Callithrix jacchus: one gene and its partner. The protein of the gene in region 1 interacts with the protein of each later gene in a pairwise test. Links are inferred from orthologs where the notes say so. Each region holds a gene or a part of one and is shown on either strand. Other genes may lie near its edges.

The links. The genes of interacting proteins can lie anywhere in the genome.
Region 2: the proteins of LNX1 (region 1) and C1QTNF1 interact in a two-hybrid assay, tested with the Homo sapiens proteins (2 studies listed by BioGRID and IntAct). The two-hybrid records come from large-scale screens. The link is inferred for Callithrix jacchus from reciprocal best matches to the Homo sapiens genes LNX1 and C1QTNF1.

What each region holds. Positions count from the first base shown.
Region 1 is NC_133504.1:143,048,332-143,052,079, reverse strand, and holds the start of LNX1 (E3 ubiquitin-protein ligase LNX), read right to left. Parts: upstream 2,317-3,748; 5' UTR 2,013-2,316; intron 1-2,012.
Region 2 is NC_133506.1:134,764,608-134,768,355, reverse strand, and holds the start of C1QTNF1 (complement C1q tumor necrosis factor-related protein 1), read right to left. Parts: upstream 2,277-3,748; 5' UTR 1,963-2,276; intron 1-1,962.

The DNA.
Region 1 (3,748 bases):
ACAGTGACAACACAGGTACATACACACATGCACAGCGCAGGTCACAGTCTTTAAAAATATTACACGTGGCTGAGCAAAGTAGGCACCTGTGCGGGGTGTGGAGGACATATCGTAGCTCCAGAATTCCAGGAGCCAGCTCAGGGAGGCCCAGAACAAAGCATCAGGGCCTAAGCAGGGTGCGGAGGGCATCTGAATGGGGCAGGGGACACTGGTCATGATGGCAGTTGGTGATATTTGGGGGACCGAACAAATAAACAAATAATATATTAAGGATAATGGGAGCCAGCCTCTGATCAATGTTAATGACGGCAGTTACAAATTCAGAAAGGGAGAAAACTCTGTGGTGTTGGAAGTGTGAATTTATGGTTTTCAATACATATGGATTAATATAGAAATAAATAGATACATAAATAGAGGAGGAAGCTGGGAATCAGAATTAGACCTGTCTAGCTCTTTTCACCATTCTTTACTAAGGCCCTACACATAGGCCCTCTGCTGTGAAACCTCTGCCCCCTTCGCTGTCCCCTAGAACCCCAACTGGAACTCACATAGACTTAGAAGATTCCACCCCCATAGTCTCAGAGCATGCATCACACCACATGGCACTAGTTGCACACAACTAACTCATGAGGTTTTGGTTACATGGAGGGTAGGCCTCCTCTTATCTGTATTCCCTGCATCTCCCTTGGAACCAGGCACATGGCCATCACGATAGTTAGTATTAATATTTACTGTGCACTTATTATGCATCAGCAAAGACTTCACATGCATAATCTCATTTACAGCTGAAGACAACCCTATGAGGGACATATTACCATCATTCCCATTTCACATATTGGCAAGGTGAGGTTAGAGGGGTTAACCGAGGTACGCCAAGATGTAGAGCTAGTGAGAGGTAGAACCAAGAGTCAAGGCCAGACGGTCTAATTCCTCAGACTGTGCTCCTCACCCCTCAGCTCTGCCACCATGGACTAGGTGTAAGTAAATGGTCACTCAACAGATTCCTCCCAGGGACTTGTGTTTCTAAACACTCTCCCTCAATCCAAGTCCACACTTTATGCTGAGCTCGTTTGAAGCTCACCTCTTTAGGGGAGCTCCCCATCCTGGTCTGAACTGCTGCCTCAGTTCTCCTTGGGCACAGGGCTTGCATCGCACCCTGACATATGACCCAGTCAGTGTTGGAGCAGGGAACATAGTTTGTCGACATTTGTTGAACTGAATTCAATGCCCAGGAATGGAAGTAAACAGGGATACATGACAAAGTGGTATATTGTACAGGATACTGTGGTTATCTATTTCTGGATTTTCCAGAAGAGTTCAATTTCTAAAATTCCATCCTCTCATCAGACCATTTGTCAGAATACATGGCCAAGAATGTAGTCTGGAATTTTGTTTAAAGAGTAAGGTCGCCATTCTATAGAAGAGAGGCGGGAGTGGGCACAGGGTGTGCTGCCGGGCACCCCAGCCCGACACACCCGTGGGCAGGTCACAGCTCTCTGAACCTCTTTATCTGTAGGTAAAACTGCAGTGCAATACCTACTCCTACTGCGGAGTGAAATGAAGTCTGTGTGTGATGTGTTTTAAATACTGATGAAGAATAATGTCATGTAAATCCAGTTACTGCTAGTGGGATTCCTCACGGTTTCACTGACCTGTCTGGCAAGTCATTTTCATCTGTGAAAGTAAAGAAGCTTTTAATGAAGACCACTGCAGGAAAATAGGTATAAAGAGAGCAAATGTCCTGAGGTCTTTCTAGTGTTTTGAAAAAGACACCCCTGGATATTTTCCATCTTTTAGACTCTCTTCAATTTGATGCGTGTGTGTGTGTGTGTGTGTGTGTGTGTGTGTGAGAGAGAGAGAGAGAGAGAGAGAGAGAGAGAGAGAGAGAGAGAGAGAGAAAGAGAGAGAGAGAGACAGAGAGAGGGGAGAGTTGGAGGCCGAGTGGGCAGAGGTGGAGTTGTTTTAAAAAACTGCATGAGATTCTAGCTGGTGGAGGGACAAGGCTATCTTACCTTTGCTGTATGAGGTCTCCCAGCTGTGTGAGGTCTCAGGAGATAGTTCTTTTGAGAGCTGAGCTTTTCTGGCTTAGCAGTAGCTCAGAAAACTTTTCTTTCTCTTTCCAGTGTTCTGTGCCCCAGCTGTGTATAAAAACTGCTCCGCCTTTTTCCATGCAGGGGTTAACCAGGGCATCTCCTGCCCCTTCTGCAAGGCTTTGGGTAGAAGAGATCCATAAATCTGACAGCAGCTATGGGGAGATTCAAGGAAGAGCAGTCTCCCGCAGAGCAGCATGCATTACCATCAGTGACAAATCTGTCTGGTTTGGATGGGGCTGAGACACCCCTGAACTTCCTTCTGCTCTTGCCAAAAGTCAAGATCCTTTTGTTCACCTTTAGGGTTGCCAAGTCAGGCCTACCTCTCCCCTAGATGTTGTTTCCTGCGGGCAATGGGAAAATGATCTTGGAGCCAGAGAAGGGAAATCAACAAGGAAATAAACACAGGGTCACCACACCTTCAGGCCATCAGTAGGTCTGGAACATTATCATGCTGGGACCAACTCCTTAATAGGCAGGGGCTGCTGACTGGACAGGCCCTAGAATCCTGGGCATCTTTTATTTTTCAATAAGTAAAGGGGCATGCACCAAAATCAGTATCAGGCAAATAAGTAGTTCTGACTTGTTCTAATACCTTGCCAAAACTTTCAAAGATTTTCCATAGGCAGTATTGCTCATAACTGAACATTGCCTAATGTTTGTAGACAAAAAAAAAGGAATGGGCATGTTTGTGGCTGATACTATTTAAGACTTTTAACTCCAAAGATATAGAATTATTGTTTAAATAAGTATTTCTTCTGCTCATTCTTCAGCATCATCACCATCATCACCATCGTCAGCGGCTGCAACATCTTTGCTAACATTTATTAAGTGCTTACTGTCTACCAGATTCTATAGTAATCACCCGACCTGCATTATTTCATTTAATTCTCAACAGAATCCTATCATTATCACTCCCATTATACAGATAAAGAAACTGAGGATTAGAGAGACTAAGTCATTCCTGCAGAGTGACCCAGCTAATTAAAAATGTAAACATTGTGATTCCAGAAGTGGGCTTTTCTGAGCTTTGCTTTTCCCACCAGTTGACCTAAGCACTAATGTGGGCTGACAGCTCCAGTAAGGACCAAAGATTTTGCTTAAATAAGTGATTAGCTCTGGGTATCAGATTCTAAATAGAAACATAAATAATTAGTGAGTTAAGTAGTCTCCTTCCAGAGATGTGAGTCGAGTCCTTGGTGTTACCTTATGTATATGCATCATGCAAGAAGGACACAGAGAGTTCAGGTACTTGTGGCCCCGTAATCACAGGTGGTGCTACTGGCTGCAGTGCCTTCAGCTCTCCACTGTGACTCTGATTTACAAACAAGGAAGTGCTCTGCAAGTCCCTTGGCCTCTGTGTGCATTTCGGTCATGGCCTGATTGCTACTTTGTCCTTTTGACTTTCAGAGTCAAACTGCTGCAAGTTTCTTTTAATCAATAATCCAGGGAATGAAGGAGGCAAAATGACCAGCCTGGAAACTTCTGCCTGGTGAGATGAAGCCAGCACATGTATTTTTGGTCCTAAGGTCACACTTCTCACTCATATTTACTCTACCCCTAATCTTTACTTTCAATTTGGCTCTACTCCTAACCTTTCCTTTGAAAGAGAGCTAGCAGTTAGCTCTTTTGTGTCATGGCAGTTACCCAGGGCAGCT
Region 2 (3,748 bases), on another chromosome or scaffold:
TGTGTCCTTCCTGCCCCTGGGCATTCTCTGTTGGCAGCTGGGAAAGAGAAGTTACCAGCCTCAGCTTGAAGAGCTGAGTGCCATATTCCCAACAGCAGGGAGGAGTGTTAAAACCATACACCCTGGAGGCTGGGCGCGATGGCTCACACCTGTAATCCCAGCACTTTAGGAGGTTGACGCGAGTGGATCACTTGAGGTTAGGAGTTTGAGACCAGCCTAACCAACATGGTGAAACCCAGTTTCTACTAAAAATACAAAATTAGCCAGGCGTGGTGGCGTGCGCCTATAATCCCAGCTACTTGGGAGACTGAGGCAGGAGAATTGCTTGAACCTGGAGGCAGAGGTTACAGTGAGCCAAGATCTTGCCATTGCACGCTAGCCTGGGAAACAAGAGCGAAACTCCATCTCAAAAAAAAAAAAGAAAAGCATATGCCCTTGGGCTAAAGACACAGATCAGAGTCTTGAGTCCTACATCCCTGTCTCTGGGACCTCAGGCAAGCCGTGAGCCTCTTGAGCTTTGCAGCTCTGTTCTTTCCACAAGTGAGAGTTCCCTTGATAGAACTGTTGCGAATTAACAATTATAATAATTATTAATATAACGTTCAGCACCTGCCATGTGAGAAGCAGACACACAAATCTGTGGCTCACATGATGATGACGCTGATGGCTGCCACTGTTGCTGAGCTGTCTCTAAGGGTCTCTCCAGCTCTACAGGTCTAAGAGGGAGGGTGGGGAAACTTCTGCTTGTCCTCAGCCCTCGGCTCCCATCTCCCTTGTGTTGGTTCCCTCCTCCCTGGTTGGCGGGTACTGGACAGGTCTCCTGATCACACACAACAGCCAGTGCCTCCATCTGCAGCTGCTCATGGCTCCACTGCCTGCCGGGGAGCGGTACTTTCTCGCACTATAAAAAGCAGAGGCTGGGCAGCCTGTGAGGACGTCACATGCTCCCCTGGGGCCGTGAAGTGACCAGCAGTGGAGAGAACAGTTTCTCATGGCATTTCTCATGTTCAAAGCTCAGGATGAGAAAGCTCCCAGCATGTCGTGCTGCCTCCTTTCCTAGAAACTAGGTGGGGCAGCAGAGTCAGGAACACCTCACAGAGGGGCGGCTTCCTCCCTCCCTCCCAAGCAGGGAGTAGTTGGCCCAAAGGTGCCTGAAGCCGATGGAGGGTCCATAGAAGAGAATCTGGCTTTCTGGGGCTGGAAGAGGGTGACCCGGGCTAAGGGTGGGGACCACACCTGCACCCGCGGAGAAGCCTGGAGGGCTGAGTGGTGGGCAGTAGGTCGACAGGTGCGGTCCAGAAGCACCCAGGTGGCTCAGAGGCTCCAGCCCCAGGCCAGGGACCTCTCCCAGCGGCACGGGCACCAAGAGCTTCGCTTCCCAGGAGGGCCCTGGGGAAGCAACATTGTTTTTTCCCTCCCAAGCTGGGCCCCCTCCAGGACACCAAGGCTGTCAGACTCGGGGACCAAAGTCAGCCTTCCTATTCCATGAAGGACCCAGGTTGGCCACAGATGGGCCTGGCAGACCCGGCGGTCAGGTGGTCCCGGTGAGACTGGGGAGGGGTGAGGGCATCCCCGCCAGGTGCGGCCGTGGGCATTAGTACCACTCCTCTTCCACACCCTCAGAAACGCACCAGAGAAGAGTGAAGCAAGATAAACCCCCCACAAAAAGCTGGGGGGAAGGTGCGATGGCTCCCGACAGTATCCATGTGCAGAAGAGTCCGGCTCCTCCGCAGGCAGGGAGCCCCAGGACAGCGACTCCGCACAGAGGCGCCTATGCGGGTGGCTGAGCCAGGGCTGGGCGCCAGGGCTTCCCCCAAATCTGGGGTCCCTCTGCCCCTGCGCCTCCACCGCTCCCACCGGCCCTCCCGGCCCAGGTGTCTGCCCGCCCCGCCCTGGCCACCGGGCTGAAGCCACGAGGACAGGGGCGGGGTGGCGCCGGGTCCCTGCGGCTGGGCCACCTACCTCCGTCCCGCCGGCCGCTCCTCCCGCGCCGCCCTTAGAGCATCTCCCGGAGGCCGAGCCTCCTCCCCACCGGGTTCGGGGAGACGCGCAGACCCGCCGAAGGAGACAGAGCGGGGAGACCAGTCCTCGAGGCCGACGGTGCACAGAATGAGGGTGGGGGCGGTGCGAGCAGCCGCGGGTCCCCCCAGCACCTCTGGTCCGCCACCCAGGCTCCGAGGTCCCTGTGACCAGAAGCGGAAGCACGGTTTCTCGAAAGTAAAGGAAGAGACGCAGAAAGTGGGAAGACGCGCACGGAGCGAAGCCCAGCCAGATGTGAGCCGCGAGGAGCCGCCAACACTCCCAGCGCTTTCCGCCCAAACAGCAGCCGCGGAGGATTAACTGTGTGTGCCCCGCCGCCCCGAGGAACGCCGGCGGCCGCCTCCTCCCGCCCCTGGGGATCGCGCCAGGCTGGCAGTGGGGAGGGCCGCTTCCGTGCATCCGGAGGGCTGTGCAGAGGTGGAGGGGGTGCGATCCCGGGCGAGGATGCCCCGCGCAGGACGGGGGTGCCCACAGGGCAGAGCACCCCCAGTCACTTGGTAGCAGGGGGTGGGCTCCAAGGCCTGGGGATCCCCTGCAGCCAACCCCAAGGGGTCAGGTCTTCAGTGTCAGACCTGAGACACCCCGCACATCATCCGGGACTCAGAGATTTGGGGGAATCTGTGAGCACCCTACAAAAAAATGCCAAAGTGTGTGTGTGCGCCCGTGTGTGTATGTGTGTGTGTGCGTGTGCGTGTGTGCGAATGTGTGCGTGTGTCTGTGCGTGTGTGTGCGATATGTGTGCGTGAGCGCGCGCGTGTGTGTGCATGTGTGTGTGAGTGTGCACGCACACACATCTTTGGAAGACGATGGTCCACTGTGCTGTTTTGTTCAGGGTCTTGAGAGCTCTGTGATCTAATGGTTAGGAGTGGACCCACGGTGATGGAAGCATTCCTCCATCTCTATCAGGCCTCTCATTCCTTGATGTGAAGACCTGACATTTTCTCAATCATACACAAACATTTTTTCTGAACCATCCCCGTAGGCCGCCCTCCAATCCGGATCCCTAATCCGGGCTTCTCCAGAGCCGGCCCTGTTTGGGGCCCAGTCTCTATCCTCCGACTCTGCATCAGCCCAGCTCTCTCTGGAAAATTACCATATCACTAGCAGGGGAGGATCTGGCCAGAGATGGGAAGTCTGCTCTGATGATAGCAGCGTTCCCCACTTTCTTTTTGCTTCTTTTCAGCCCTGCTGCCCTGTTCTCTCTGATCTGCCCTTCGACTCGATGCTGTACCTGGGTTTTTTGGTTTTGTCATCACTCCTGTGAGGGCCTGTCTCTGGCTACATCTAAACAGGAAATATGAAAACAGGGATGCTGGTTGGGACATTCAGAGCGCTAGAGGCTTTACCTTTCCCTGCCTGGAATGTGCTCCCATCCGCTGCACCAACAACGGGACAGATGAAAAGAATCAGAGGAGAGGAAGAAGAGGGTGCATGCTCGATGCCAGCTGCCTTGCCCCAGGCGGGGTGAGGCCAGCACTCGGGTAGACATGAGGATGAATGGATGAGAACAGAAGGGGACGCCTCCGGGCAGGTGAGCCGCCCAACAGCCACTCCACAGAGGCCCTGGCTGCGTGTGCCAGCCCTTCCTGTGAGTACAGGGAGAAAGGCTGCCAGGCCTCTGGCACTCAGGGGGAACTCAGAGGACACGATGGCAACATGAAGTCAACACTACTTAACCAACTAGAGACAGGGCCTCTGCGAGGCTTAG